Linked DNA regions of Rattus norvegicus. The protein of the gene in region 1 purifies or fractionates together with the protein of each later gene. This does not show direct contact. Links are inferred from orthologs where the notes say so. Each region holds a gene or a part of one and is shown on either strand. Other genes may lie near its edges. The genes, in order: Serbp1, Vcp, Larp7, Dnm1l, Hnrnpu, Tsr1 and Rbm42.

Evidence for each region.
Region 2: the proteins of Serbp1 (region 1) and Vcp purify together in Homo sapiens (affinity purification with mass spectrometry; 3 studies listed by BioGRID). This does not show direct contact. The link is inferred for Rattus norvegicus from reciprocal best matches to the Homo sapiens genes SERBP1 and VCP.
Region 3: the proteins of Serbp1 (region 1) and Larp7 purify together in Homo sapiens (affinity purification with mass spectrometry; 3 studies listed by BioGRID). This does not show direct contact. The link is inferred for Rattus norvegicus from reciprocal best matches to the Homo sapiens genes SERBP1 and LARP7.
Region 4: the proteins of Serbp1 (region 1) and Dnm1l purify together in Homo sapiens (affinity purification with mass spectrometry; 3 studies listed by BioGRID and IntAct, with this or other methods). This does not show direct contact. The link is inferred for Rattus norvegicus from reciprocal best matches to the Homo sapiens genes SERBP1 and DNM1L.
Region 5: the proteins of Serbp1 (region 1) and Hnrnpu purify together in Homo sapiens (affinity purification with mass spectrometry; 3 studies listed by BioGRID and IntAct, with this or other methods). This does not show direct contact. The link is inferred for Rattus norvegicus from reciprocal best matches to the Homo sapiens genes SERBP1 and HNRNPU.
Region 6: the proteins of Serbp1 (region 1) and Tsr1 purify together in Homo sapiens (affinity purification with mass spectrometry; 3 studies listed by BioGRID and IntAct, with this or other methods). This does not show direct contact. The link is inferred for Rattus norvegicus from reciprocal best matches to the Homo sapiens genes SERBP1 and TSR1.
Region 7: the proteins of Serbp1 (region 1) and Rbm42 purify together in Homo sapiens (affinity purification with mass spectrometry; 3 studies listed by BioGRID and IntAct, with this or other methods). This does not show direct contact. The link is inferred for Rattus norvegicus from reciprocal best matches to the Homo sapiens genes SERBP1 and RBM42.

Annotation. Positions count from the first base shown.
Region 1 is NC_086022.1:97,744,835-97,748,334, reverse strand, and holds the end of Serbp1 (SERPINE1 mRNA-binding protein 1), read right to left. Parts: intron 2,571-3,500; coding exon 2,397-2,570; intron 2,374-2,396; exon of another isoform or gene 2,049-2,373; intron 2,009-2,048; exon of another isoform or gene 514-2,008; intron 303-513; coding exon 246-302; 3' UTR 142-245; downstream 1-141. UniProt on the Homo sapiens protein: Ribosome-binding protein that promotes ribosome hibernation, a process during which ribosomes are stabilized in an inactive state and preserved from proteasomal degradation.
Region 2 is NC_086023.1:62,022,588-62,026,855, forward strand, and holds the start of Vcp (transitional endoplasmic reticulum ATPase), read right to left. Parts: upstream 2,801-4,268; 5' UTR 2,590-2,800; coding exon 2,573-2,589; intron 1-2,572. UniProt on the Homo sapiens protein: Necessary for the fragmentation of Golgi stacks during mitosis and for their reassembly after mitosis. Involved in the formation of the transitional endoplasmic reticulum (tER).
Region 3 is NC_086020.1:218,677,309-218,680,808, forward strand, and holds part of Larp7 (la-related protein 7), read right to left. Parts: intron 2,060-3,500; coding exon 1,935-2,059; intron 1,280-1,934; coding exon of another isoform or gene 1,277-1,279; coding exon 1,155-1,276; intron 1-1,154. UniProt on the Homo sapiens protein: RNA-binding protein that specifically binds distinct small nuclear RNA (snRNAs) and regulates their processing and function.
Region 4 is NC_086029.1:98,130,397-98,134,593, reverse strand, and holds the end of Dnm1l (dynamin-1-like protein), read right to left. Parts: intron 3,556-4,197; coding exon 3,361-3,555; intron 3,211-3,360; coding exon 3,101-3,210; intron 1,180-3,100; coding exon 1,020-1,179; intron 736-1,019; coding exon 679-735; 3' UTR 501-678; downstream 1-500. UniProt on the Homo sapiens protein: Functions in mitochondrial and peroxisomal division.
Region 5 is NC_086031.1:92,615,781-92,619,766, reverse strand, and holds the start of Hnrnpu (heterogeneous nuclear ribonucleoprotein U), read left to right. Parts: upstream 1-1,186; 5' UTR 1,187-1,353; coding exon 1,354-1,966; intron 1,967-2,777; coding exon 2,778-2,889; intron 2,890-2,977; coding exon 2,978-3,051; intron 3,052-3,986. UniProt on the Homo sapiens protein: DNA- and RNA-binding protein involved in several cellular processes such as nuclear chromatin organization, telomere-length regulation, transcription, mRNA alternative splicing and stability, Xist-mediated transcriptional silencing and mitotic cell progression.
Region 6 is NC_086028.1:60,257,298-60,261,589, reverse strand, and holds the start of Tsr1 (pre-rRNA-processing protein TSR1 homolog), read right to left. Parts: upstream 2,801-4,292; 5' UTR 2,765-2,800; coding exon 2,668-2,764; intron 2,509-2,667; coding exon 2,405-2,508; intron 1,851-2,404; coding exon 1,631-1,850; intron 1,528-1,630; coding exon 1,393-1,527; intron 593-1,392; coding exon 168-592; intron 1-167. Other genes in the region: Sgsm2 (small G protein signaling modulator 2), read left to right, coding at 3,962-4,018. UniProt on the Homo sapiens protein: Required during maturation of the 40S ribosomal subunit in the nucleolus.
Region 7 is NC_086019.1:95,033,181-95,037,183, forward strand, and holds the start of Rbm42 (RNA-binding protein 42), read right to left. Parts: upstream 2,801-4,003; 5' UTR 2,706-2,800; coding exon 2,566-2,705; intron 2,349-2,565; coding exon 2,213-2,348; intron 600-2,212; coding exon 515-599; intron 419-514; coding exon 344-418; intron 1-343. UniProt on the Homo sapiens protein: Binds (via the RRM domain) to the 3'-untranslated region (UTR) of CDKN1A mRNA.

The DNA.
Region 1 (3,500 bases):
ATTATGAAAACATCCCTGCTACCAATACATTTCTAAATACAAAACTGACTAACATATTTGTTACTTCTGTGTAGCTAGAGAAGTTCGTTTTCAAAACAGATAAAATTCAGTCTTTAGGTGTGAATGGTATGAATGACAGTCTTTTTTTTTTTTTTTTAATTCTTAGTTGTTTGGGATCCTTAAGCATGCAAAAGCTTTGAACAGGAGGGTCCACAAAGGAACCAGTGTTGTATTATGGCATCCAGTTAGGCCAGAGCGGGGAATGCCTCTGGGTCATCTACATCAGGAGCAGAAGCACTTGACTGGGGAGGGAAAAAACAAAAACAGAAGATTAGCCACAATTTTCAAATCTTGAAAATAGCCCACTAATGTCCATACATAGTATAATGTTAAGACACCATACAAAATAGATCAAAGCTTCTACTTTAAAAACAAAATTATAAACCAGAATAAAACTACATATACTTGCAAAGAGACTCTTCAATGAAATATTCTAATTTATCTGACATGCTAGGGATCATATGCAGGGCTTGTTGTACATGCTGGGTTATGTGTTTACCAGAGTTACATATTCCCTTCCTTCCCACCCTCTTCAGACAAGAGTTTGCCATTTGTAGCACAGGCCACGGTCAAATTCATGATCTGACCCATCTCCAAGTACTGGGATTATGGTTATGTGCTACCACGTCAAGCATACTTATGATTTCATATAAGTAAATTCTCATGGAACATGTGGGTTCTCACTTTACTAATTTTATACTTTTCACTTTGCAACATAATAGTATTATCAATATAAAAGCAGGCTTAATCATTGTGCAATTATCTAAATAGCACATTCAATGTGAGAAAAGAATCCAATTACAACCTGAGGGGAAAAACAAGTTATTGAAAAATCCTCTTCGGGGATTTAGCTCAGTGGTAGAGTGCTTGCCTAGCAAGCGTAAGGCCCTAGGTTCTGTCCTCAGCTCCGGGGAAAAAAAAAGAAAAAAGAAAAATCCTCATATATATGAAACCTTCATCTTTAAAAAAAGAGTCAGGAAAAAGTATCACGGATCACAAAACCCATTGCATTGCTACCACACCACTATATGCAGCCTCTAAAGCAGGTAGGGTGGTGGTCTCAACCTGTGGGTCATAACCCCTTTGTGATTGTGTTTGTGTAATGAACTTTTCACGGGGGTTAAATACTGGAGATCCACATTACAATTCACAACAGTTCGGCAAAAATAGTTATGAATCAGCAAGAAAAATCTTATGGTTGAGTGCTCACAACATAAGTATTAAAGGTCTGCAGCATTAGGAAGGTAGGGCTACTTAAAAAACACAAAACAGAGAAAAACAATTACTGAACCAGGTGTTGTGGTGTGGGTCTTTAAACCCAAAACTTGGGAGGCAAAGGCCAGCCTGGCCTACAGAATGGATTCCAGGACAGACTGGTTGTAAAATGAGACACAGTTTCAGAAACAAAAAAGCCCCCCAAATAAAAGTAAGATTTCAGGGTTCTGTGGTTTATTCCAACTGGACACTAAGATTATTCTTAATACTGTCAATAGGCAATTTTGAATTAAAAAACAACCCCTTGGGTATCTTTCAAAATTCTCACTGAGAACTTATTTTAGAGTGGGCATGGTAAGCAAATAGTCAAACTTTGGGAGGATGAAGCCTGACCACAGGTTTGGGAACAGCCTGACAGAGCACCCATGAACAAAAATATTGAATTCCACGTTTTTGTTTTTTTTTTAAGACAGAATCTTTCTGTGTAGTCCAGGCTGTCTAGAACTTATCTTGTAGACCAGGCTGTTATTGAACTTTCAGAGATCTGCCTATACTAAGAGCATATGCCACCACCACCTGGCATGAATCCCATTCTTAAATCATGGCATAGACTAGTGTCTCAGGAACTTCTGCAATCCTAAAATTGTTCTATACCTGGATTTACTCAGCAGTGAGGATATCCCTAAAGTAAAATTAACACCTGCATGTAAAAAGTATAACAGCATCCTGACAGGTAGAGAGTAAGAATTCAAAGTATAACAGCATCCTGACAGGTAGAGAGTAAGAATTCAATAGTATATTCAACTTATTGGTAGCACTACTCTAATCATTAAGGTACTTAAAAAAAAAAAGAAAAAGACGCATACATAAGGCCAGATGTGGTGGTGCATGGCTTTAAACCCAGGGCTCTACAGGCAGAGGCAGGCAGATGTGAGTTTAAAAATAGCCTGGTCTATATAGTGAGTTCCAGGCCTGCTAAACCTCCACAGTGAAACCTTGTCTCAAATGGTGTTTCTTGTTAATTCTTTATTTCTGTTTATGCCCCTTCCTCCAAAATATCTAGTCAGTAATCTCTTACAAATCTTAAACTGCTTAAAACAGAAAAGGCATCTTAAAATCACCTTATCAGTCCTGCTGCCACGATTAGGACGACCACCACGCCCACGTCCACCACGTCCTCCTCTGCCACCACGTCCTGGGCGGCCTAGGTCTCCAAAATTGATCTCCAGTTGAGACGTTATATCATTTGCTGGCTTCCGGAAATGATGGTCCATAACTGAATCTTCCGCATGAGCCTAAAATGTTAAGTAAAGCCCCCTGGGTAATGAATTTTTAACCATGCTTTCTCCCCTTAGAAGACAAGTCATCAATCCTGTACTCTGTGTGCATGAACATAACTACTATCTAGCTCAACAAGTAGTAAGTTCATTTGGGACTCAGGTAGTAACCATCTTTAACAAATATCTCTGAATTCCAGGTGATACCTGCCCTTGAATACTGGCATATAATGCAAGTGACAAGTTCCTACTCTAGTCCTGAATCTTCAGCAGTATTTGTAACATTTAAAACAGTTCCTTCAAATTGGGACTCCAATATGAGGCATGCAGTTTCTATTTGAGATTAATCTGAGGTTTGTTTTTTTTTAAATCTATATTCTTCAAAACTAGAACCTCCTACCCAAGGATGAATGTACACAACTTTAAGCTTCATTGTTTACATATGCAATTACATAGGCTGAACCTACCTACCTCAAAATACTAAATTTTTTGTTCACCATGATTTTTAAATCATGGTGCTCTGTGCAAATATTCCTCAATATGAAACATATTTGGTTTCAAGCATTTTAGACAAGGATTACTCATCCTTCACTGTTCCTCCACCTAAATTACCCTAAGTTCAAGTCAAACAGTACAAACTTTACATTAGAGACTCTTCGAACTATAAATTAATCCACTGAAGACTTTGATAATAAGGTGTTACAAAATTAAGATCTTTATATATAAGCTACATGTCTCAGCATAGAAGTAATAAAATATGACAATTTTAGAGTTTTGATTTCTTTGAAAAAACACAGAGATTATGGGAATGTTTTTGTTTTGATCCCTGGTATGACTACTTCAGATTGAACACAGCAGCGGCTGCAAACAGTTTATACAATTTTGACATTTGGAATTCTAGGTACTTTTCAGAAGATATATAAATTCTAGGACCCCCAAGAGGCGGGG
Region 2 (4,268 bases), on another chromosome or scaffold:
GGTTTGAGAAGCATGAATATTAACTGAAACAGAGGTCTAACAAAGGAAAAAGCAAATGAAGGGGAAAAACTATTTCTTCAACAAATTAATGAAATCCAGACATAGTATGGTCCATGCCTGTTATCTCAGTAATTGGCAAAAGGCTCCAAGCCAGCCTAAACTGCATAGCAAGACTGTTTCAAGAATAGTAGTGATGATAAATGGATGTCTACAAAGCATTCTTCTAGGGGCGAGATGAGACAGCAAAATCAAACAAAAAAAGCAGTGCCACAAGAAATACCTTACCCTCACTTATTTAAAAAAGGGTCTTGCTATATATAGTTCTGCCTGCTATGTAAAACCAAGATGACCTTGAACTTGCAGTGATCCTCCGGTCTCTATTAGAACCACAGACATGCACCACCACACTCAGCAATGTTGTTACATCTCTAACCATTACTTTAGAGTAATGGGAGTTTCCTTAGCTCTTGTCTCCTTCAAAAGTTATGTCACTTTGGCCACAATGCTGTTGATTCCAAAAATAAATGTGTGTAAACCCACCAAATTTTCTACTGCCTCTTATCTATGAAAATATCTTGTCCAAGAGGCTGCTCATCTTCTTGCTTGATTTACAGGAGTACCTCAAGTGATCACTTTGTATTTTATTCTCAAAAGTGCCTTTCAGGAGAACCTCCAATCTACATACCTGTCCAGACCCTGGCCCTTAAAGTCCTGTAATTCTCCAAAATCCTGTGGAGATTAGAGTCAGTAACTCCAAAAGAGCTGAGGAGCAACTACAGCTCTGTATGTTCTCCTCCCATCATCTGCATGACTCAGGTTCTTTCCAGAACTCAAGGACCACAAAAGGAACTTGGAAATTCAGGTAAGAATCAGCAAGATGACCTAAAGATACAAACTGCCCACGATGCCAGATTTTAGGAATTCTAATTTTAAAACAAACAAACAAACAAAAATCTAGATTTAAGTGGAACATACTGTGACATTCCTATTATCCCATTTTATGGGAGGTAGTGACAGCAAGACAGGAGTTCAAACACAAGGCTGAGTTTGAAGTCAATTTGGCCTACATTATTCCCTGATCTCAAAAAAGAAAAAACAAACCACAGGGCAGTGGAGGCTCACACCTTTGGTCCCAACACTTGAGAGACAGAGGCAGAAAGACTTCCCTGAGTTTAAGGACAGGCTGGTCTACAGAGTGAGTTCCAGGACAGCCAGGGGTTACACAGAGAAACCCTGTCTCAAAAAACAAACAAACAAACAAAAAAAATTTAACTTAAAAAAAAAAAAAACAACAATTGAAATACTGACAGTATTTTAAAAGTCTATTTTGTTGTTTTTTGAGACAGGGCCTGAATGCGTAGACTCCCAGAGTAGCTAGTCTAGTAACGTGCTCCTCTGCCTTTCTTTCAAGTGCTGAGATTAAAGGTGTACAAAATACCACCCACCCTAGCTATTTAAAATATTAATAGTTCTTTTAACCAAATAACTGAGTGAATACTTCATCCGAAGGAAATGAAACCTAAACCACTCGAAACAGCGGGATCTTATAGTTCCCTACACTTGCTATTTGGTTTTGCTTTGTTTTTGTATGGGAAGCTCTAGTTTCTAACTAAATGGGCTGAGACGGCTAAATTTTATTTGATGCTTTCTGAAAGATGAAGGTGGGGCCATAATGTCCAGAGAGTCAGCATAGATGCTTGGGGAGAGAGATGTATTTCTTTTGAAGAGATAAGCCAACTCTAACCTGCAAGTTCTCCAAGCCAAGAACAAACAAAACAAAACAAGAAAAACAACCGAATTCTAACTTCAGCACCTCAAAATAAAAGAAAAACACCTCCTTTCTAGCCACTTCCGATCATAGCAAAAACAAAGATAAATACACAAAGCAAAACAACAATAACAACAACAACAATAAAACTAGGTAAAACTTCCGGGTGTTTACAACAGGCCTAACAAGGTGAAAAACTGCCATTTGAGAAAGGCATGACCTGCCCTCTCTCTACATGTGGTTCAAAACATGCCAACTTCGGGCAACACCGTCCCAGATCCACCAAGACCAGCCTGGGCTTCCCCCAGGTCTTCCGGCCCAGCCTTCCCTTGAGTCTTGGGGCTCCTGAGGCCTTCACGTGGCCCAAAGTCCACGCCCACTGGGCCCAGTCCGGGCCTCAGGCTCGCAGTGTTTTCTCTTCTCAGGCTCGGGGTCTTCTGTATATGGTCGGCGAAATGGCCGACCGGCGTCCTAGCGCCAAAGGGCTCCATGCGGGGAGTGTGGACCCTAAGGCCTAACTAGGCCGGGGCCGGCGTGCCGAGGGAGGTACTCAGGCCGCCGGGGCCTGCATGACACAGCACCATCTTGTCCAGGCTCCGACCCAGGCCCAGCGCGGGCCCGACCTAGGGGGCGCGCGGGTGCACAGCCCGGCCCGAGGCCCTCACTCGCCCCTTGCCTCTCCTTCCGTCTCTCTCTCTCTCCCGGCCTAGACTTTCAGACGCGGCCCGACCGGGCCTACCCAGCACGGCAGGTCCCACGGTGCGCGCCCCCGCAGCCGGCGGGCGGGCACGCGCATACACTTACTCGGCTCCAGAGGCCATGGCGCGCGCCTCTCCCGGTCGGCGGCTGTGGCGGCCTGAGGGTAACGGCTACGAGAATGGTAGGCGACCGACTAGGCCCGGGCTTGACTCACTCAGGTGGAGGAGCAACAGCAGTGACAAACCCACAGGCAGCCTCCCTCTCGCTTCCTCCCAGCGGCACCGGGGCGGCAGGCGGGCGGGAGACGCTAGCTCCTAATCCGCGAGAGGCGACTAATCAAACGACGGCTGCAAACGCTTCACGGAGACTGAACCGAGAAAAGCCGAATCATCGGAAGGAAAGCTGCTCTAACCTCAACCAATCAGCGACTGCCTTAGGACTCGTGCCCGCCTCTCCGTGCCTCTCCCCAGCAACCCACAGACGATAACCAATCAGAAAATTCGTTTGTGGCCTAGCCCCGCCTCAAGGCTGCAACACGCCTAGTAACGCCACGTCAATTGGCCGTAGCACTACGCTTCCTCGACGCATAGGGAGTCTTGACCAATCGACAAAAGCAATAGGCCAGATCCTCTGGTAAAAGGAGAGTCTTTATCCCTCCGAAGGAGGTTTCCTCTACTTGGCTCCAATTGATTGGCTCCTTAGTTTATAAGCAGCTGGGAGAACCTCGCACAAAGGCTTGAACCCTTATTAGTTTAGCTGAGTTGTAATAATAATCCACATAGTTCATTTCTCGCCAATCCTAGGGATCCTCTTACTCCACCATACTAAAATCCTTCGTGCTCCTTTAAAACACTGGCTCCAACGAAGGGCGTGGTGGATGGGCTAGGTCTGTATTTTTAGCAATTGGGAAGCTGAGGCAGGAGGACTATTAGATGGAGATCAACCCAGGATACAAGACCTTTTCTGAAAAACAAAACCATGTCGGCGTAATGGCACATAGCTATAATTCTAGTCTCAAACAGTATCTCAATAAATTTTAAAAGCAGTGTGGTAGTACATGCATTTAATGTCAGCACTTCGGAGGCAGGCGGCTCTCTGTGAGTTTTAAGTCAGCCTGGCCTATAAAAAAGAGTTCCAGCCAGCCAAATGATACTCAAAACTAAGTAAATAAAATTTTAAAACAAGCAAAAACAAGTGGGTATGGTGGTGTACACCCTAGATCTCAGTACTCCAGAGGCTAAAGGCAGGAGATTGACAGTTTGAAGCCAGCTAATGCTGCATAGCTGGACTCTGGTCTACAAAAAAGAACGGAAGGAAGGAAGGAAGGGAGGAAGGAAGGGAGGGAGGAAGGAAGGAAGGAAGGAAGGAAGGAAGGAAGGAAGGAAGGAAGGAAGGAAGGGAGGGAGGGAGGGAAGGAAGGAAGGAAGAAAGGGAGGAAGGGAGGGAAGTAAGGAAGAAAGAAAAAAAGAAAATGGAGACTCCTAGCTCCACCCCACCCCCTCCTCTCTGAACCCTAGAGTTCTGAATCAGCACCCCAGCTCTTAATCCACTCGATTGCCATTGCACTCTCTTCTAATGATGCAGGCTTTGTGATTCCTCAGGGTTTGGGAGTCTGTACTCCTTAACACAGAGTATAAATATTATCTGGAGAGGGAGCGCACTGAGGTTCAAGAAAGTCAAGGACAACTGCAGAACACATAGCAAACGTAGTAGTGCCCAAGAGCAAGAAAGATCAACCATGTGCTGTGATTTAAGGTCCCTGTGCCCCAAAAGACAATTAACTGGCTTTCATTATAGTCAA
Region 3 (3,500 bases), on another chromosome or scaffold:
TTGTTAAATGTCACTCATTAAAACTAAAGAAATAAAGAAACTGTTTAGTATAGAATAGAATTTTCTAGGCACAATAACTCAAATTCTTTTAAAATGTTTTAGAAAAAAAATTGAGACTTTAGCTATTGTAGGATAAAAGAGTGTATCCTTTAACTGTGACGGACAAGAGAACTGCAGGCCTAGAAGACAGAAGCTCACCCTTAACACATGCTCTGTAAGACAGGAACTTCCATACTGAAAAATGTTTCCTTCATCAATCAAGGAAAAAAAAAAAGAGAGAGAGAGAGAGAGAGAATGAGACCTGAGAGCCTTCCAATGTTGTTACCCAGTTAATCATTACTACGTAAGACACAGCAAGAGACCAGTCTGCACTGAGTTGATGAAACTGTAATGGGTTTCCTATTCGTGGTGAGAGTTTTATAATCAGTTTTTCAGATAGTTTAGAGTACCACAGTTCAAAAGGCATTTACAATTTATCCATTATAAAGTCAGGCTAATATCCTAATTAAAAACCCATATAATGACAAATTAATCTGGTAATCAGTGACAGCAACAGAGCTCAGTTTTTGTTTCAGAACAACTAAGTAATTACAACAGGACTTTCAACTGTTGCATTACCAAATTCTCCTTTGTGTGCTTGGGACTGAGTCCAGGCCTCCATGCTTGCACAGCATTTGCTTACTGTCAGGTTATTAAGCTACATTCTGTATTGTTACCATGTTTTCAGATGTAAGCTAATAGAACCTGGGGTTGGCAAATACAGCTTGGTCTACAGAGTGAGTGCAAGGACAGCCAGGAATACAGAGAAAGCCTGTCTTGAAAAATCCTGCCAACCAACAAACAAAACATGCCATCAAATATCTTTATCGATGAAAAGCTCTTCAAGGCTTAACACTGAATACATATCTCAACAACTCCAAGGTCAAATCACTATCATTTTCCACGGAAGTACAGTCACCAACCATTAGGGAAACAAGAAAGGCAGGCGTTCAGGCTTCTATCCTGAGGAATTTTGGTATTCAGAGTAAAGCTAAGAGTTGTCAGAGTTACCCTGGACTCTCTTAGCAGTTTACAGAGAGGTACAAATTCTGACTAGAGTTGTTTTGTTTCCATACTATTTTGAAAACATGTCACATGGGGTTCATAAGTATTACCTTGACTTGTTTCCTGCCTGGGAGAGGGTCTTCGCTCAGGATCTTCACGATCACTCCAGTCACGAACTGCGGGCCCTGTGCACTGACCTTCTCCTGGGTGGAGCACTGCTGACCACTGCCTGCTGCTGTGAGAGGAAAGAGGCACAGGTAACTTCCTCACCCCTCACATTTCACATGAGAAGCACCATCCTCCAACAGCAGAGACTTCTCAGGCTAACTTAAGGAACTGAGAACTCGTGCAACTGGAAATTAGTATTAAGGAATCACATTGCTCATTGGAATCAATATGGAATAAAACGCATTATACATCTAAACCAAAGACTAAAAGTTGAATAGATATATGCCAATATAAACATAAGAATAATCAAAGCACACTACTCAAATGCGAGAATTTGTATTTGTATAATTTATAAGAACTTAACATCTTTACCAATACTACAGCAAGTGAGAATATGCTTTAATATGTTCCCACTTGGTGCACATCGCCCAGTAGACCTGCAGTCGCTCTTCCTCCCTCTAGGCACTCTGGAGTGAGCTCACAGGGGATGTAGGGAAAGAGTAGGCAGGCTGTTAAAACTTACTCGGTAATATAAACCTTCACATTTTTGTCTTTTCTTAAAAAATTTCTTTGGTAATGGTTCAGCTTAAACTGGGGAAGCACTCTATCACTGCTATGAAGCCACCCTTGAAAACATTTATAGACTAAAGCCTGCTCTTTGGTGTAAATAGCCAAATGACACTGCATGAGCTTCACCCTTTCAGTCCCCACTGCAGACTTACGAGGCGCTTTGGACTCTGTCTCCATTTCCGACTCCAATTTTATTTGAGATATTGTTTTTTTTAGAGAAGCCATGCTAGCTTTTTGCAGTGCCAAATACTCTTTTTTCAAATCCATCCATTCAGTCCTGTAAAACAAAAATTGAACTACTATAGTGACAAGACGACCCAGTCAGAAACCTGAGGTTGACTAGACATAATGCTCACAGTAACTCCAAGTCTTTCCCACTTTCCTTTTTTAAGGCACACATTTACATCATTTGTTAAGCCATAAATCTATCTTGCAAACACACAAAGGAAGTTTCTCTTCCTTAATACTCAAGGAAAATGCTTGAGGAGTTTCCTAGTTGTTTCTAATATTCAATTGTAAAATCACTTTTGAGTCACTTCCCTGAAGTAACAATTACTAAATCAGGCAACTTGCGGAAAAGGTAAGAGACTGAGATTCAAAGATTTCTCAAATTGCTTCCAATTTGAGAGATAACATTCCTTAGGATTTACTTAATTCAAAAGGAATTTCTGAGAAGAAAAAAACAGCCCGTGACAGCAGTTTATTTATTTACATACATTTAACATGTAGATGTGTCTTCAGGCAGCCAGGGCTCCCCCAGAGAAGCACAAAGCCTCCCGGGCTCTGTGGGGGTGCTCATTGTTACCCTAATCTGTGCCATCAAACAGGCAGATAGGGGATTTTTTTTAAAGAGGAGGATATCTTGTGGTAATGGTTTTAACAGTTAACATTGACATCTGTTTACTTCAAAAAAGGGGAAGAAAAAAAACCCAGACCTACCCTGGAGCCCCAGGATCTACTTTCCCTGGGAGCTGATACATTAAAATAACAAAGGCCCTGAACCGATTCTCCACATAGAAAGCCCAAGGACTGCAGGAGCTGGGAGTCGTATAAATACCAGGTCTAAAGTCGCCGTCTTCCACCCTCCGAGGAGAGCGAGGAAGCAGGTCACCAAGGTAAGGTGAGTCTGCAGCCTGGTCCCTTCACGGCTCCGAGCCAGCGCTCCTCTAAGAAGCTGCCGGGCGGGCGGGCTCCCTTCCACTTTAACATGGGAATGCTTTCTGTCACATTGAAGAGTAAGTGCTGCCATGTTTTAGTAGAAGTGAACTCAAGGTTCCCTGGAGGAGTGAACACCTTGGCGTCTGGTGGGAGTCCCCTCTGCTTTAACATGGGATTACCTGCCTCCATGTTTCAGTGGGGGTGTCTTCAAACTCTTCACCATTCTCTTTAAAATGCTGCAGTCAAGAGCCTGGCAACTTCGTAAGTATAAAGACTGGGCTTCCCACCACTTAAACGTGGTTGTCCTTGCTTTGGAACGAAGAAAGTAAGTGCTTCCATGTTTGGGTGATGGTAAGTTTTCCTTTATCCTCACGCCTTTAAGAACCTCACTGGAGTCTGCGTAAGGGGCCTCCTTCACTTTAACATGGAGGCCCTCGCTGTGCCTTTAAAATAAGTGCTTCCAGGTTTGAGTGTGGTGGCTCCTGCTTACTCCCTGGGCGGCATGAGGACCAAGGCCGTCACTGCTGCTAATCTGCAACTCTGTTGAGCACACACTGGAA
Region 4 (4,197 bases), on another chromosome or scaffold:
AAGAAAGTTCCTAATAGTTATTTTTAATGCAGGAAGTCAATTTATATTTTCAGGCTTATTTTGAATCAAAGCATATTTTACTTTCTAACATTAGGGCAGTATAGACTCAGGAGCCATTAATTACACAGTCTGTTCCTACATCTTTATGAGTCTTTCAGATCTTATATTTTTCCTAAAACTGCAGAAGTTTCAGAATTTTGTTTGTTTTTTAAGACTATAAAAATGAAGGATAGGTGGATACATTGATTATGTGAGGAACTCGCCAGGCTCCACCTTTTGAAGCCAGGTCAGTCTATATAAATAGTGCATGCATTATAGTCATGAAATGTCCTGGAGCTTCCTCTTTGAGGACTACGGCTGCAGCTTTAAGACTAAAAAAAGGTTACGCAGGTCATCATATGCACAGGCAAACTGCTTTGTACAACTAGAACATCAATTGTTCTTGTAAGTTTGACTGAAACGGACAGACTTGATATACATCATAGGAAACTTGAAAAATGTGAATTAAACATGTGATTTGTCTTGTAATGAATAATATACTTTTCAGCTTATAGCCAGTCTTCACACAAGCAAATTCATACACTGCGATACACAAAAGTCCATAAATAAATTTCTACTCAGGTAGGCAGTAGCTAGTAGGTTCAAGTCAGCAAAGTGTAGAAGACCAAACAGTTCTGTTCACCAAAGATGAGTCTCTCGGATTTCAGCAATAATTTGACTGGCTCCTTGTAATGCCTGCATTAAAAGAAATAAAAACTCAAGTTAGAATGTTAATCTGAATTTTATAAGAAATGTCTCCATTTTCAATGCTTAAAAAAAGAAATTAAAAAAAAAGAGCAGTATCTTTTCTGAAATTTTAATCTAATCAAATATGAGTGTGAAGGGGACAAGGTCAGAGTGTAACTTTAATATCTTGCACGTGTATGTGCACATTACAGGGAGACAGATCGAGAACAGTTTCATTTGCACGTGTATGTGCACATCACAGGGAGACGACAGATGAGAACTTTCATAGTCACCTTCAGCATGTCAGCCGCTTCTTTTCTTCGCTGTGCCATGTCCTCGGATTCAGTCAGAAGGTCATCTAATAAGGATGACTTATACAGCTGCCCTACTAATTCACTCTGAAGAGTATCTTTCACATGATTAACCAAAAAATGCATTACTGCCTTTGGGACGCTGCAAAGCAAGGTCAAATCATGAACTTTTGGTAACAATTCTATTTTCCAAAATTTAGCTCAGTGGTTCTCAACATGTGAGTTGCAATGCCTTTGGAAATTAAATGACCCTTTCACAGGGGTTGCATATCATATATTCTGTATATTAGATATTTACATTATTATTCATAACTAGCAACATTACAGTTAATAAGTAGCAACAAAGTAATTTTATGGCTCCTGTCACCACAACATAAAGAACTATGTCGCAAGAAAGTTAAGAACCATTGATTTAGACTTTAACTAGAGTATGGCTTTGTAATGAAGTTAAATAAGAACACTGAATATTTAATATACTCAGTAAAATAGATACTCTTCAAGTATTCATTTAATGAATCAGTAAGCAAAGTCACAATGCTTGATATTTTAACTTCAATCATCCATATCCCATATATACACAACAATGATCATTACTCTCAATAGCCCAAACTGAAATAATAAAATATTCTGAGTAATGAGTAGATATACAAAATATGGTCTATAATACAGTATTTCAGTCAATTGTAGAAAGGAAGTCAATTGTAAAAAGGATTCAGGCTGTATGAACAAGCTTTAAAACACACTGACAAGTAGCTGAGATTTAAGGCCTGATCTACAAGATAAATCCCATACCTGGCATCATTACTGGGCCACAAACTTTTGGCTAGACAGATCAAAGAGACCCCAGCCAGAAGAGAACCTACCACTATTATTATACTTAATGGACAAAGCATTCAAACAGTTCCTAACGACCTATTGTTATAGCCATCAATTATACATCTCTCAACCTTCATCTGAGAAATCGTTGCTTATAGTGATTAACAGATCCACAGTGGCCAAGATGCAGAGAATAAGACATACAACAGTCCATCCTAAGTAGAGTACCTATATCTCCTCCCAAGAATCAAGGACCATTGCAGAAGAGGTGGTGGATGACAAGGAAACATTTCTGGACACAGTAGCGCAGCTGCACATATGAACTCAGCACTTGTGACAGCATGCACAAGACTGGTGCAAGCCTAAACCAGACCACAACTCAGCATGAGTAGAGAGGGGTATGGAATACAAAGTCTCATCCCCAGCAGAGGAGCGATTGGCAATTCTCAGCTGCTGGGAGAGGGTCAAAGCGAAGCTGCTAAGAGCTCAGCCAAGCTCTAGTAGAAGGCTACACACTAGTAATATCAAGCAGCACAAATTGGCCTTGATTGAGGAAGGAAAAAACAAACACAAATTTGGCTAAGAAAGGGCAGAGATCTAGGAAGAGTTCCAGGAGGGAGCATGAAAAGAATCAAAATACAAAGAATTCTCAAATATTTCTTTAAAAGGGGAGGGACACTCACAAGTGACAAAAGCCAGACAAAAGGTCACATGTTATTGTGTTCCCACTAGCATGAAATGTCTGATTGGCTAATTCACAGGCACCTTAGAGGCAACCGGACAGGAAGTTATTAATGACAAAGGCTGTACTTTACTTTAAGTAAGGTAATAAAATGTAAACCATGTAGGCTACTAGAACATAAGAATGTTTTTCAGAGTACTGTGGGGATTGAATCCAGGGCTTCATGAATACTAGACTAAACCACTGTGTACTACTCAGTGGACCCACACTGCTACTCTTTGATTTTGGTTTTGTTTTGCGATGGGTGTAGTGAGAGTTTGTATGTATATCTGTGATCATTCTGCTTGAGGCTCAATCTTCCTGACCTGTGATTATGGACACTGCATTCCTACATCCTTGACTTTTAATTTTATTCAGCCGATATATAATATTCTAATTCCATGTCATCTTGCAATCGCAGTTAACATTAATATTTAGAGTCAAAGGGAATCTAAAGATTTTAATGTATGATTTTTTAAACATCAAGAACTCACCCAACAGTATTTACATATTAAATAATACTAACCTGTCTTGAATATTCTTTCTGACAATTAGAAAATATGATTTGATGAGTCTTTCAATAACCTCACAATCTCGCTGTTCTCGGGCAGACAGTTTTCGTGCAACTGGAACTGGCTAAAAGAGGTAAAAATATTACTTCTATGCTATTTTGAAATGGCAACATTAAAAGTTAAAGATTTTGGTGAATTTAATTTCTTCTGTTTAGAGAATATCTGCTGTTAACTTGGTACACTTGTAAATTTAAACAGAATTGTGGTGGCTTACCACATCTAGCAAATTGACAGCATGGCCTTTTTGTGGACTTGCTGGCATAATTGGAATTGGTTTTGATTTTTCTTCAGCAAGTAATTCTTCAGCTTTTGAAGTTTTCAGCATTCCTCTCCAGTTGCCTGTTGTCGGTTCCTGACCACCATCTCCAATTCGACCACCATCTCCAATTCCACCACCTGCAGATGCAACCTGAAAACACATGTTCCAAACCTATACTCTGTATATTTAACAACAAAAGAAGTTCACTTTCTTTGGTGGCAATCTAGAACCAATTTTCTCTGCTTCCTATATGGAATTTATCCAAACAGATAATGAAGTCCAGAAATAATGGTGGCATTTGTCACTAGAAACTTGAGAGATTCTGTTTGAAGCTGTCTGTAAGCCAATAGCCAAACTCAGGTCCTATTTAATTACTTTTTATTCATTACTTTCCAAAATTTTTTATCTTTCACCATGCCTAAACACTAAATTAAATGCACACACAAGAAACAGAACTTGCCCTTGGTTTCATCTCATCAAAATAATCTTCAACACTTAACACTGACCTCTGACCTTACAGTCCTGGAGCTTATGGTTCTACACAGTTCTAAACCAGTTCACTATAGTTCTGACTGTCCTTGAGAGTCAACAGTTAAAGTAGACCTTTAATAGAAGAAAGACTACACCATAGACTGACCCGACTATCGCATTACCAAGCTTCCTAAAATGTGAAATGTAACGAGCACAGCATACTCTGATCCAGTGAGAGAACCCACTGTTACTCTCACAACCTTCTAAGAGAAAAAACTGCCTTCTTACTATAGTGGGAAAAATAAAACACACATCAATGTT
Region 5 (3,986 bases), on another chromosome or scaffold:
GGAAGCCCCCGTGTAGAAATAAAATTCTATATGCTTCAAGAACACAACATATTTAATAAGAGAAAAACAGATAGTTTAGTTTTATTCCTATTTTTTGAGATAGGATCTGGTATGTAGCCCAAGGTAGCCTAGAATTTACTAAGTAGCCCTGGCTTTTAACTCTTGATATGTCTGCCTCATTCTGCCAAGTGATAGGACTACAGGTAATTTTTTTTTTTTTTTAACTAAAACCCAGCCTTTTGTTATTACCAGTTTGTAGGCAACTTAGCAGGTATACAAACATGTTTATAGTGTCTGAAAAAACAGGGAGAAGATCAAAGTGAATAATCTAGCTGGGTGTTGTCCTACTCATCTGTAATTACAGGATCTCAAAACTGGTGGACTAGATCTGCAGGGACAGACTGTCCTGCAAGAGGCCTGTCTTTACAGTAAGTACATAGAGGGGAAACTTCCATGCAAATCTAAGGCTTTCTTAAGGGTCAGTAGTGCACAAGGCCGGCTTTATGCGCTGTGGCGGGCGCACGGAGCAGCACAACAAGCCTCTTTCCCAGACTTTGCACCGCTGGTTGGGGAAGAGACAAAAGAAAGGCTCTGGCCTCGCCCTTGCGGAACGTAAAATAAGTCCGACTGGCAAGGCACGACTAGTAAAATTTAAACCGCAATTAAGTGGAGGAAAAACTAAACAACAAAAAACCTCTGCATAACAATCGCCTACATGTGTTCTACAGAGAAGCAGTGGAAACTTGAAGGTTTTAAACCTAGAGCCGGAGGGACAGACCCAAAAAACAAAACAAAACAAAAAAAAAACCCCAAAACCTAAACGAAGATGGAAGAAAGGAGGCTGTTCTCGAGTGGGAAATGCAAGGTGAGGACTGAAGGCGGATGGAGGAGAGCGTCCTCCAGGATACAGAAGACAGAGCGCCGATGGAGCGCGGCGACCCAAGAGCCGGAAAGGCCGGCGGCCACTGCGGCGGGTCCGTTAAACCGAAAGGCCGCTTCCAGAGCCTCCATTTGCTCGGCCCGGCCCAGCGCGGAGGTCGCGCCGTGGGGGCGGGGCGGGGCCTGCGCGCGCAGTCGCCCTAGCGGGCCTCGCCTCGGCAGGGGGCGGGGCGCCTATATTACGTGCGCGGCGCCGCCCCTGCGAGAGGACGTTGCGTGCTCGCTCGCGCCAGGCGAGTCTCCGCGTCTTGCCTCGCGAACTCGGTGAAAGGAATTGGCGCCGTTCGACACCAGGCGGGTCCGTTCTGCAGCAGCACTCAGCTATCTCCAGCAGCAGCCGCCGCCCGGGCCGACCAGCAGCCGCCGCCACAGGCCGAGGGAGCCAGCAGTCAGCGGTGAACCCGGGCCCTCACCATGAGTTCTTCGCCTGTTAATGTCAAGAAGCTGAAGGTGTCGGAGCTGAAGGAGGAGCTCAAGAAGCGGCGCCTCTCAGACAAGGGCCTCAAGGCCGATCTCATGGATCGACTCCAGGCCGCGCTGGACAACGAGGCAGGAGGCCGCCCCGCCATGGAGCCCGGGAACGGCAGCCTCGACCTGGGTGGCGATGCGGCCGGGCGCTCGGGAGCAGGCCTAGAGCAGGAGGCCGCGGCCGGCGCCGAAGACGATGAGGAGGAGGAGGGCATTGCCGCTCTGGACGGCGACCAGATGGAGCTGGGCGAGGAGAACGGGGCGGCGGGGGCGGCTGACGCGGGCGCGATGGAGGAGGAGGAGGCGGCGTCGGAAGACGAGAACGGCGACGACCAGGGCTTCCAGGAGGGGGAGGACGAGCTCGGCGACGAAGAGGAGGGCGCGGGCGACGAGAACGGCCACGGGGAGCAGCAGTCCCAACCGCCGGCGGCGGCGCAGCAGGCTTCTCAGCAGCGCGGGCCTGGCAAGGAGGCCGCGGGGAAAAGCAGCGGCCCCACCTCGCTCTTCGCGGTGACGGTGGCGCCGCCAGGGGCGAGGCAGGGCCAACAGCAGGCGGGAGGTAAGAAGGCGGAAGGTGGCGGGTGAGTGTTGCGTTGTGGGTGCGCGCGGCTGTGGGGACCGTGCCCCAGGCCTGCTGGGGCCCCTAGGGGCGAGCGCCGCGGGAGGTGGGGGCGGGGAGCCCCGGGGCCGCGGAGAGGTTCTCGCCATGCCGGCGGCGCCTCCATTATGTATGTCGGGCGCCGGGGGGAGCTGCAGCTGCTGCGGTGGGGGGGGGAGGAGGAGCCGAGGCGGGCAGGAGCGCCGGCCGCTGGGGCGCTGTGTGCGCGCGGTTCGGGCACATGTGGGGGGGGAGGGGAAAAGCCCGAAGGTCCCGGAGCGGGCGGGCTTTGGCGGCTCTGCGCAGCGGTATTGTGCAAGGAGCACAGGGGCTCGGTGTGACGTCACTTCCGGCGGGAGGCGCGGGGAGCGGGGCGGAAGCTCAGTACAATGCGGCGGCGGGGCACGCGGGCTCGGGTGGGGGAGGGGAGGTGGGCCCACGCTACCCCTCCCTCTCGCTTGAGCGCCGCGCACGTGGGCCCGGGCGGTGTCGCGCTTTTTTTTTTTTTAATTTTTTTGAACTATTTTAAAAATGCTTTCTGGAAGGTTGCGGTAGGCTGGCAAAATCCATAACGTCTTTAGACTGCGTCACTGTCTCCAGTCCAATTCCAGACTTTTTTTTCCTTTAAATTCTCATTTGTGGTTTAAAAAGTCACAGAACCAGTCTGAAAAGAAAATCAGTAACAGCTCTTGAGGCTTGAAACAGGAAAAGGTGCTTTCCCCCATTTAGTTTTCAGCCTGGTACTTTAAGGCCGTGTTCTGTGTCGTTATAGGAGACGGCAAAACAGAACAGAAAGCTGGAGATAAAAAGAGAGGTGTTAAAAGACCCCGGGAAGATCATGGCCGAGGATATTTTGAGTACATTGAAGAAAACAAGTACAGCAGGTAGAGAATCCTAACCTAGTTTTCACTTGTCACCCATTCTTTATATGTGGTGGGAAAAGTTTTATCAGGAGACAATTCTGTCTTTCAGAGCCAAGTCTCCTCAGCCACCTGTTGAAGAAGAAGACGAACACTTCGATGACACAGTGGTTTGTCTTGATACTTGTAAGTGAGGCGGACTTTCCCGCTCTTTACTCGTTTTCAAGTGCAGTGTTATTTTTTTGGTTTTAAGTGTTAGGAAAGATGTGTGTTGATCTTAAAGTGCAGAAAACCAGAACTTTGTTTTAAAGCAGGAAGGTAGTGGCTTATGCTAAGGCCATAACCGTTTAATATTAATACCACTTCATTTGTATTGATTTATCAAGCTCTAGTGATTGGTAATAATAGTTTTATGAATTGGAACTTCTCAGTACTTAGGGATGTAAAACTAAATAATTTTCGTTTAGCTACCAGGAACTTGTATTTTAAAAATCTGCCTGTAACTTGTCCTTAGATTATATAGTTTAATCTTTTCTCTTGTGGAACTATATTAAGTGAGCTAAATGGGGGTAGCTGAATACTTACTAATGATCTTCCCATTAGCACACAAGTGTATTCCCTATTCTAAGGATTGTAATATTACCTTTCAATAACTGCTCTTTTGTTCTCAATTCCAGTTCAGTAGCTGCTGCTTTAACATAAGTTGATTTCTTCCAAAGACCTGGGGCAGCAGCAGTGGGCTATCTGAGCCACTAGCTTTCTTCAGCAGCGAATGGTATCAATGGCAGCGCTGTAAATATGCTACTTTACCCAGCTGGGTTGCAATTGAATATGAGGAAGTATTGCAAACCATGAAATGGGCTTTAGCTGTCAGATTTGTATTTTTATCCTTTAAAAAAATTCGACTAGTTTAGTATTTAATAACATCTTTTGTGAGCAGAACAAAAAATACAAATAAGTGTGTAGTTACAGGGCCTCACTTGATGGAAGTTAAGGGTTAAAAGCTTGGGTTCTCATGTTTCCCTGTACAAATCGTGTTCAGAGCCCTGAGAGTTAATTATGTAAAACTTGGCTGGTTTCTAACCACATACCTTTTATAGTCAATTACATCTTGAAAAGAA
Region 6 (4,292 bases), on another chromosome or scaffold:
ATGCTCTGAAATTTAAAAAGCAGGGTGGCCCCACAAGGCCTTCCACACTCGTAATATACCCCTCTCCAGCACACAAAAATAAATTCAGTAAAAAAATTAAAAACAATCTCAGGCAAGGAATGTAGCCAAGTGAGTTAGACTCCCAGAAATGGAAACACCAATCTTACCTCCATTGACATGCTTGGTTTCTTTTGGGATTTAACCACTCTAGGATTTAAAGGGAAAGGATCCACAGGCGCGTCTATTTGATTCATTTGGAAATCACCATGTCCAACAATATGCAGCAAACTATTTACATTCAGAGTCCTCCCTCGAATGTAGCCTGAGATTTTCAAGGTGCCCACTAAGTCACTCTCCTCACTAGGCATGAAGTCAGCATCATGGGCAAACAAGTAAGCTCGCCGATCCCGAAAAGCAAGATGCCTTTGCTTCTGGTTAGCCAACTGTCTGAGTAACATTCCTGATTCTTGCTGGGTGTCCAGCAGCAGGAGTTTGTCTTCAGGAAAGCGTTTCTCCACTGTTTTATTTAGCTTCTTTCTGGCATCCGTTTGTCTCTTTGGTGGGAGACTAGGAAGTCCCTGGACAGCTAGCACTGAAAGAAGAGAGAAGAACTTAGGAGCTTAGTGCTCCACTGCTTGAAGATCCCTCTCCAGTTCTTCATAAACCTCCCAACAGCCAAAGAAACGTCACAATGAGTGTTAACTTCCTAGTCCTTTCCTGGGCACAGGACAGCCCAGAAATTAAAAGTTCTCTTTAATAATATGAAAATAGGGCTGGGGATTTAGCTCAGTGGTAGAGCGCTTACCTAGGAAGCCCAAGGCCCTGGGTCGGTCCCCAGCTCCGAAAAAAAGAACCAAAAAAAAAAAAAAAAAAAAAAAGCTAGGTGGCAGTGCACATTTTCAATCCCAACACTTGGAATTGGGTGGTAGGGGGCAAATCTCTGTAAGATCAAGGTTAGCCTGGTCTACAGGAACAGTTCCAGGACAGTCAGGGTTACATAAGAGGAACTTTTTGTCTCCAAAACAAACAAGCAAACACCACCAAAAACTAAAATATATGAAAATAATGTTTAATCTGGACAAGTATAGCCCAGGCCAGCAGAATTCAACTCCTTGATTTACTCCTAAACCAAGTGTTAAACATTACGTCTCAAGGACCAGAGCTGTTAAAAGATAAAAGGATTAAATGCACTGACTGCTCTTCCAGAGGTCCTGAGTTCACATCCCAGCAACCACATGGTGGCTCACAACCATCTGTAATGAGATCTGATGCCTTCTTCTGGTGTGTCTGAAGACAGCGACAGTGTACTTATAATAAATAAATAAATCTTTAAAAAAATGAAAGGAAAATTTACTTTGTTTTCTGGTCTCACTGATACTAGAACACACTTACTATAGGTGGGAAGGCCCTGAGCAAAGAGGCAAGATAGACAATAATCCCCAGTACTGTCCCAGCCTTCTAATGGGTCCAGGAGGAACAGGATGGTATCAGCAACTTTAGCCATGTCTAATAGTGTATGCAGATCCCCTGTATATAAAAGACACCGTAAAAAAAAAAGATAGTTAGCACATTGTAATCAAGAAATAGAACCACTTAAACATAAGAAGAGAAAAGGATTAGATCCCCTAACCTGGTCTTGCATATGTGAAAGACCACCGATGTTTCAAGCTAGGGCTCAGAAGCATAAAACTATGGGTGCTTCCCCGTTCATTCAAATACACTGTTCCCAGGTCTTCGTTCTGAAGCAGTTTAAATGCCTCTGGAAGGCAAATCCTGTTGTGCAGAGGCACCACCAGCACCTGATGTGGAGGCCCATCCTTGCTGCCCAGCTGCCTCTTCTCTGCCAGAACCTAGGAACACAAAGATTCAAGAATATCTCAATCATTTGCTTCACTAGTCATTACATCTTCAAAAGTACAGATGCTGCAACCCCAAAGCACAACTGCTCTCCTTTCTGTTGCTCTGTAAAAATACTAAGGGAAATTTATGTAACGTAAAACATGAGAAAAGATCGGAACAGCCAGGTGTGGTGGCCCAAGCCTTTAAACCGGACACTCAGAAGACAGAGAGGATCTCTGAGTTCTCAGCCGGCCAGGGCTACCTAGTGAGATCCTTTGTTTAAAATCATCATCATCATCATCATCATCATCATCCTTCTCCTCCTCCTTTCCTCCTCCTCCTCTGCAAAAGAGCAAGTCCGTATAAATGAAGATAACCAAGCATTCTCTTGCCTCGTGTATGTATGTGCTGTCAAGGAGTTTGGAGGGGCGTCGTACTAAGAACACGGCCCGAAGGTACCCTGGGTTTACCCGTTTTCGGCCCATTTCCGTGTCACATTTTTTTAGTTTGAGACTTTACCAATCTGAAGCCATGGCCTCACCGCTTCCCAACCCCCACTCCTCACCGCCTCCCTCTTCTGCTTTCGGAGCTGGCTGGCGCGATGCCTCTGGTCTACTCGGCTGAGCTGCTTCTTAAGCTTCTTGCACAGGATTTTCGGTCCTACACGACCTGAAAGGCAGATCAGAAGTGGCTGTTCTCCTCACGGTTAAATTAACAGACAAGAACTTCCCTAAGCTCCTTAAAAAGAGTCTTTGGCACGAGTCCCAAGTCTAATCTCCGGGCACGGGTATCGACTAAGCAGCCCTTCTCCCTCCTCTGTCTACGCACCTTTGCTGTCCCGTTGTGCGGACCCACCGCCGTGGTGCCGCCCGCCTTTATGAGCTTTATTCTGCTGCTTCAGCGGCCCGGAGCGGTGAGCCGCCATTCTAACTGCCCACGTGCACCGAGTAAACACTACTTCCGGGCTGACCCGAGCGTTTCCGGCCCGCGAGAGGGACTTGTCTTTACGCTCCCGTGACCTCTCGCGAGGTTTTTTTCGCCAGCCTGCGAGCGCGGGGTACTGAGTCTCTGCGGACACGTCGTGGTAACTTTTCCCACGCTGCAGTCGTCTGCTGAGAGCTGAAAGACGCCGGTAGTAATCTCCCGGCTTCGTCTCTTGATTAGAAAAATCTACTTTGCTCTCATCTTCCCACCTTTGCACCCTAAAGTTACATCACATGGGAAGAAATAAAAGTAGATTTTCCACGCCGCTCTCTCCGGTCCCAATGAATTGTATAAAGGAATAAAACGTGTAACTGGGTATCCTTTTCTTTCCTCTATGACTCTAATTCCCAACGCGAGTCACTTAGAAGGGACTCGTGTCACCGGCTCCGTTCTGTCTCTTACTCCGACTCGTGCCCCTCTCTCCCAACAATTCTGCAAGATGAACAAAAACCGGACGTGGAGACCCGAAGGAGAGCGAAGGCTTCCTCTTGTGCTCGGGCACCTGCTCTTCGTAGCTCGTGGTCGGGTTCTTGCTTTTCTCCTGCAAGCGTTGCGACTAAGAACTGCTGGCAGGCCACAGGATCCGGAGGAGTGACAGGATCATGTTCGAACCACAGTGACCCAGAGCCGAGACCTTGGCTCCTTAACGCCTCTCCGAGGGGCCAGGAGTAGGGAGCGGTTACTGTGGTTTAGGTTAGGCCAGAAGTAAGTACCTCTTCAAAGTCTGCCCGCTTGTGCAGTGGCGAGAGGCTGACTCCCAGCGCTCACAATGCGGGTTCGCGCCCTCGGGGCGGGAGCGGGCCGGTCGCCATGACAACCATCCCTGCGGCGCGCGCCCGGGCCCGACGCCCCCAGGCGTCCGCACCCGCCCTGACCCCCCCCCCCAGTCGCAGCGCACACACCCCCTCCCTGCCGGCTGTGGGAAGGGGCCGGGCCTGCTGCCTGACGTCTGCGGGGCTCGGAAGATGGCTGCGGAGCTGAGCACCGGGCAGTGGCTGCGGCGGCTGCAGGCGGGGAGTGCAGCGGGCGGGGGCTCCGCCTCGCGTGTGGGGCGCTGAGTCGGGAGGTGCGGAGGCGGTGAGGGCGCACGGGGGCTTCGGGGGCCGCTTGGTGCCGCCTGCCCGCCACCTGCCGCACCATGGGCAGCGCAGAGGACGCAGTCAAAGAAAAGCTGCTGTGGAACGTGAAAAAGGAGGTACGGTCGGGGCAAGGTCTCAGGGGCTCGCACCCCTCCCTGGGCTGGCCCTCGAGCAGAGAGTTCGTGGCACCCACGCGCGCGGCCGCCAGCCCACCGTGCCAGGCGGGGGCGGGGTCCTGTTAGGGCCGCGCCCCACGTCCCTCTCTGCGTCCCTGGCAGCGCCCTCGGCCAGGGTCAGGCTTGCGCCCTGGGGCTTGTTTGCTCCGCCGTTCTCCCGCTCCCCGCCCTGTGACGGCAGCAACGCGGGGAGATCTCGGTCGGGGGAGGGGTA
Region 7 (4,003 bases), on another chromosome or scaffold:
CAGGGTCTGTCCCCCCTCAGTGGTTGTATGTCATGTTTACTATGTGACAAAGCTTGCTTGTCAGAGGGAGGAAAAGATGACAAGCATAGTAAGCAAACTGAAGAGCTTGCTGGAAGGTGCCACAAGTTGAGAGCCTTGTCAAGATCTGTAATGACAAGTGCAGTGCTAGACTAGATCCCAGAGGATCGGACTGAGTGCAGTGACTCGAGACAGTACAGAAGGACATGGTCAGGGATGTACTATACAAAGTTTCAGGATGGAGAAAGGGATCTACAGCAGGGCAGAGCCAGAGTTTCTAAACCTAAACGAGTGGCCAAAAGTGCGGTCGCGGTCCCCAACCTACCTGCTCGCCTCAGGAACATGGCCTCTCGAGCCTCAGGACTGTCCAGGTGACTTCGATCAGCAGGGCCAAAGCCAACTGTGGGGAGGAAGAGATGAGGATGGTGGAAGGCAACCTCTGGGCACCCCTTTTTACCACTCTGCCTGAAACAGGGCCCCTCATTTTCTTACTTACCTGGGCCCACAAAAGGAGGGCCTCCCACCATGGGAGGAACTACTGTGGCTGCAGCAGCTGCCCGGGCCTCCAGGGTCTGTTGGACCTATTGGGGAGAAGGAGTCCTGGCTCAGAGATGCTGGCTCCCGTGGCGGGCTAATACTTTTACCCTTTGTTCTATGTGGCTGGTGAGCAGTCATGGTCAGCTACAAGGCCTCCTCACTGGGGTGTCTGGAGCCACACTAAGTAAAGCTGTTTGTGTTGGTTTTGTTGGTCTTTCAAGACAGGCTTTCTCTGTGTAGCCCTGGCTGTCGTGTAACTCCATCTGTAGACCATGCTGGCCTCAGACTCACAAAGATTCACCTGACTCTGCCTTCCAAGTGCTGGGATTAAAGGCATGCTCCACCACCGCTTAACAGCTTAAGCTATTACGATGAATAGCTCCCAGGATCAATGTCTCTGACTCAGTTTTCCTATAGTCCTAATCTCCAATCCAAGAACCTGGTCCCTGTCATTTCTGAGAGCAGGTATGTTCAGGGCGAGGCTGCAGACCCCACACTATCTCAACTGATGCTGACTTGTCCTCCCTGTTTTCCACCTATGCCTTACCTAGATTATTAAACTCTTCGATCTCCTTGAACTCACCCTTGCCCTCTCTAGTATATTATCCGGATAGCGAAAGCCACTTGCTTAACCTGTAAGGTGAACCATTACCACCTATCGACTTAGAATTCTCTAGCAGTTCCTCATTTTCAAAGTGAAAGCTAAGAGTCTTTAAGGGGCTCAGAAGACCCTGCTAGATCTAGCTTCTATTACTGTCTTAGTCTTCTCCGTGTTCCCTTTTGTTCTCTCCTCTCTGCTGGTGCATGAACAAGACGACCACTTTGTCTCAGTCTTGGTACGGATGGCTTTTTGCCGGGGATAACATCACTCCAGATATCTGCATGGTTTCACCATCTCATTTATATCCTTGCTTTACTAATGCCAAACCAAAAAGGCCTTCCCTGACTGCTAATAACTCTGCCCTCCTTACCACTTTGTAAGGCCAAAAAAAATCAAGAACTTCTCTGTATTGTTTTCTCCTATACACCCTCTAGTTAAAACAGTGCCTAGTGCAGAGAAGGCACTCAAGACCTGCTTTTGAACCCCCCCTGCCCCCAATACAAGGGATTGAACCTATGGCTTTGGCATGCCAGGCATGAGATCTGCCACTGAGCTGCATCCCAGCCCACCTAATAACTGTGAACAGAATTAACAAGTTTCTTCTGCTGGTGTTCATTTAAATAGTTCCTCCCTCTTTCCTTCTTTCCACAGCTTCTTCCTGACAGCTGACTGTTAAGCACCCAGAATATTATCAACGAGGCTTGGGAATGACTTAACACAAATATACAATTTACTATTATTTTGGTTGTTGTGGTGGTGGTAGGGTTAGAAAAATAGGGCTCTGCAGAGGCTAAGTGCTCTACCACTGAATTACATCCCAAATTTGTGAGTAAAAACTTTATACAGACCATTCTACCACTGCAGAAAGTTCTATCAGACAGAATGCTGTAGAACCTAGTTTCCAATGGATTAAATGTACTGCCTTGTACTCTGAGTCCCTGGCCCTTAAGTTATTTGTCATGCCAGCCAAAACGTCAATCGCTCTCCTCAGATAGACCCTTATTGGGATCAAACCATTGTGTTCTCCCAACTCATAAGCTGCAGCTCCCGCCTTACCTGTTGATATGTGTTGGTGGCGATAATTGGGCGGATCACAGGTGCTGGGGGAACCTGCATCGCCTCCACTGTGGGCACCGCAGGCACAGCAGTTGGGATTCCGGTCACCGGAGCTCCCAGTACTTCTTGCTCAAACCTGGGGGTGCGGGACAGATACCATATGTCAAGTCTTACTAAGCCTGAGGCGCTGGGTACTTTCCACAGCGCCTTCATCCCAACCAACGCCTCCCCCCGTCCCTCGGGTCCCACCGCCCCTTATGGAACCACATCTCAGGCTTCCGAAAACCTGGAGGCTGCAGGGTTGAGTGGGTTTGCCCGGAGACAGCTTTTATTTTTCCTACTCAGGGCCTTACAGGGCCATCTCCGCCTCCATTTCTTTCAAGCGTTCTTCGCCGCTCTTGCCCGGGATGCCGACACCAGGCCCCGGGACCACGGGCCCTCCCGCCACCGGGAGTCCCGGAGCTGGTCCCGCTCCGGCCATCGCTGATGCCATGGCCTTCGCCGCTCTTTTCAGCCGCAGCCGCGGGTTCTACGGTCGAGTCCCTGTCCCCTCAGGGTGGGAGCCGGCCGATGACGTGTGGATTACCGCGACGGATGCGCTGCGTGAGGACGTAGTTTAAGAACAGGGGCTAATGAGACATGGCCACACCCCCAGGACGAGCACAAGCCAATTAGAGTGTCGGAAAGACAGGTCCCCGGAAGGGCCTCACGTCTGACAGTCGCAGCGTTAGGGCAGGCCACGCCCTCGTAGAGGAAGGTAGGCGAATGAGAGCGAAGCAACGTCACTTTGACCCACCCCACTGTGGAAGCCGGAACTTTGAGGAGGCACGGAAGTTCGGAGGCCCTTCCAAAGTTTGTAAACACCGCCAAGTTAGGGTAGCGGTCTCCTGCCCTCCGTTAACAGATACACTGCCAGGGGTCAGTTCATTATTCTTTTTTAAAACAAAATTTAATTTTATTGACTGCCTATATTTTCTTTTTCATTTTGGGGTTTGGTTTGGTTTGGAGCCCAGGCATGAAACTCCCTAGGTTGCTTTGAACTATTAGAAATCTTCCTGCCGTAGGCTTTCTTTTCTTTTTTTTTTTTTTTTTTGGTTCTTTTTTTCGGAGCTGGGGACCGAACCCAGGGCCTTGCGCTTCCTAGGTAAGCGCTCTACCACTGAGCTAAATCCCCAGCCCGGGCATTTTTTTTTTTTCTGCCGTAGGCTTTCAAGTGCTGGGATTACAGATACAGAACAAAAATATTGGATTTTATACTAGAGAGATCTAGAAAGGATTGAAGTTTTTTTAAAAAAATTTTTTATTATATTTGTTTTTGATTGTCTGGCCTGTCACTTGATATGTACACCAGGCTGGCCTTGAACTTAGAGATCTGCTGCCTCTTTTTCCTGACGGCTCCACTAAACCCGCTAACATTTTCATGAATTAAGACTCATGTGTTACTCTAATTCCTTTTATGGTTACCTAATGCCCCTATTCTGTCTCATCATCTGACCAGGATGCCACATTCCTGTTCCATTTAGTTGCTGGATTTCCACCGGCTTCTCTAACCAGGCACATGTTTCAGGAGTGTTGATTAAGTATTTTGTAGCATGCTCTTCATTTGGAATTTGATGGGTTTTTTAACGCATTGTTAGACGTTAGACTGTTCATGAGTCTTTTGGAGACCACAGGAGCCTGGGAAGACTGTCTAGGTGACTATGGACTAGTCTCTGTCATTTTAGTTGATACATAAGCCAAGGAGATTATAATTTACCCTTCTCAGGTCCCTGATCACATTGACGGCTAGGC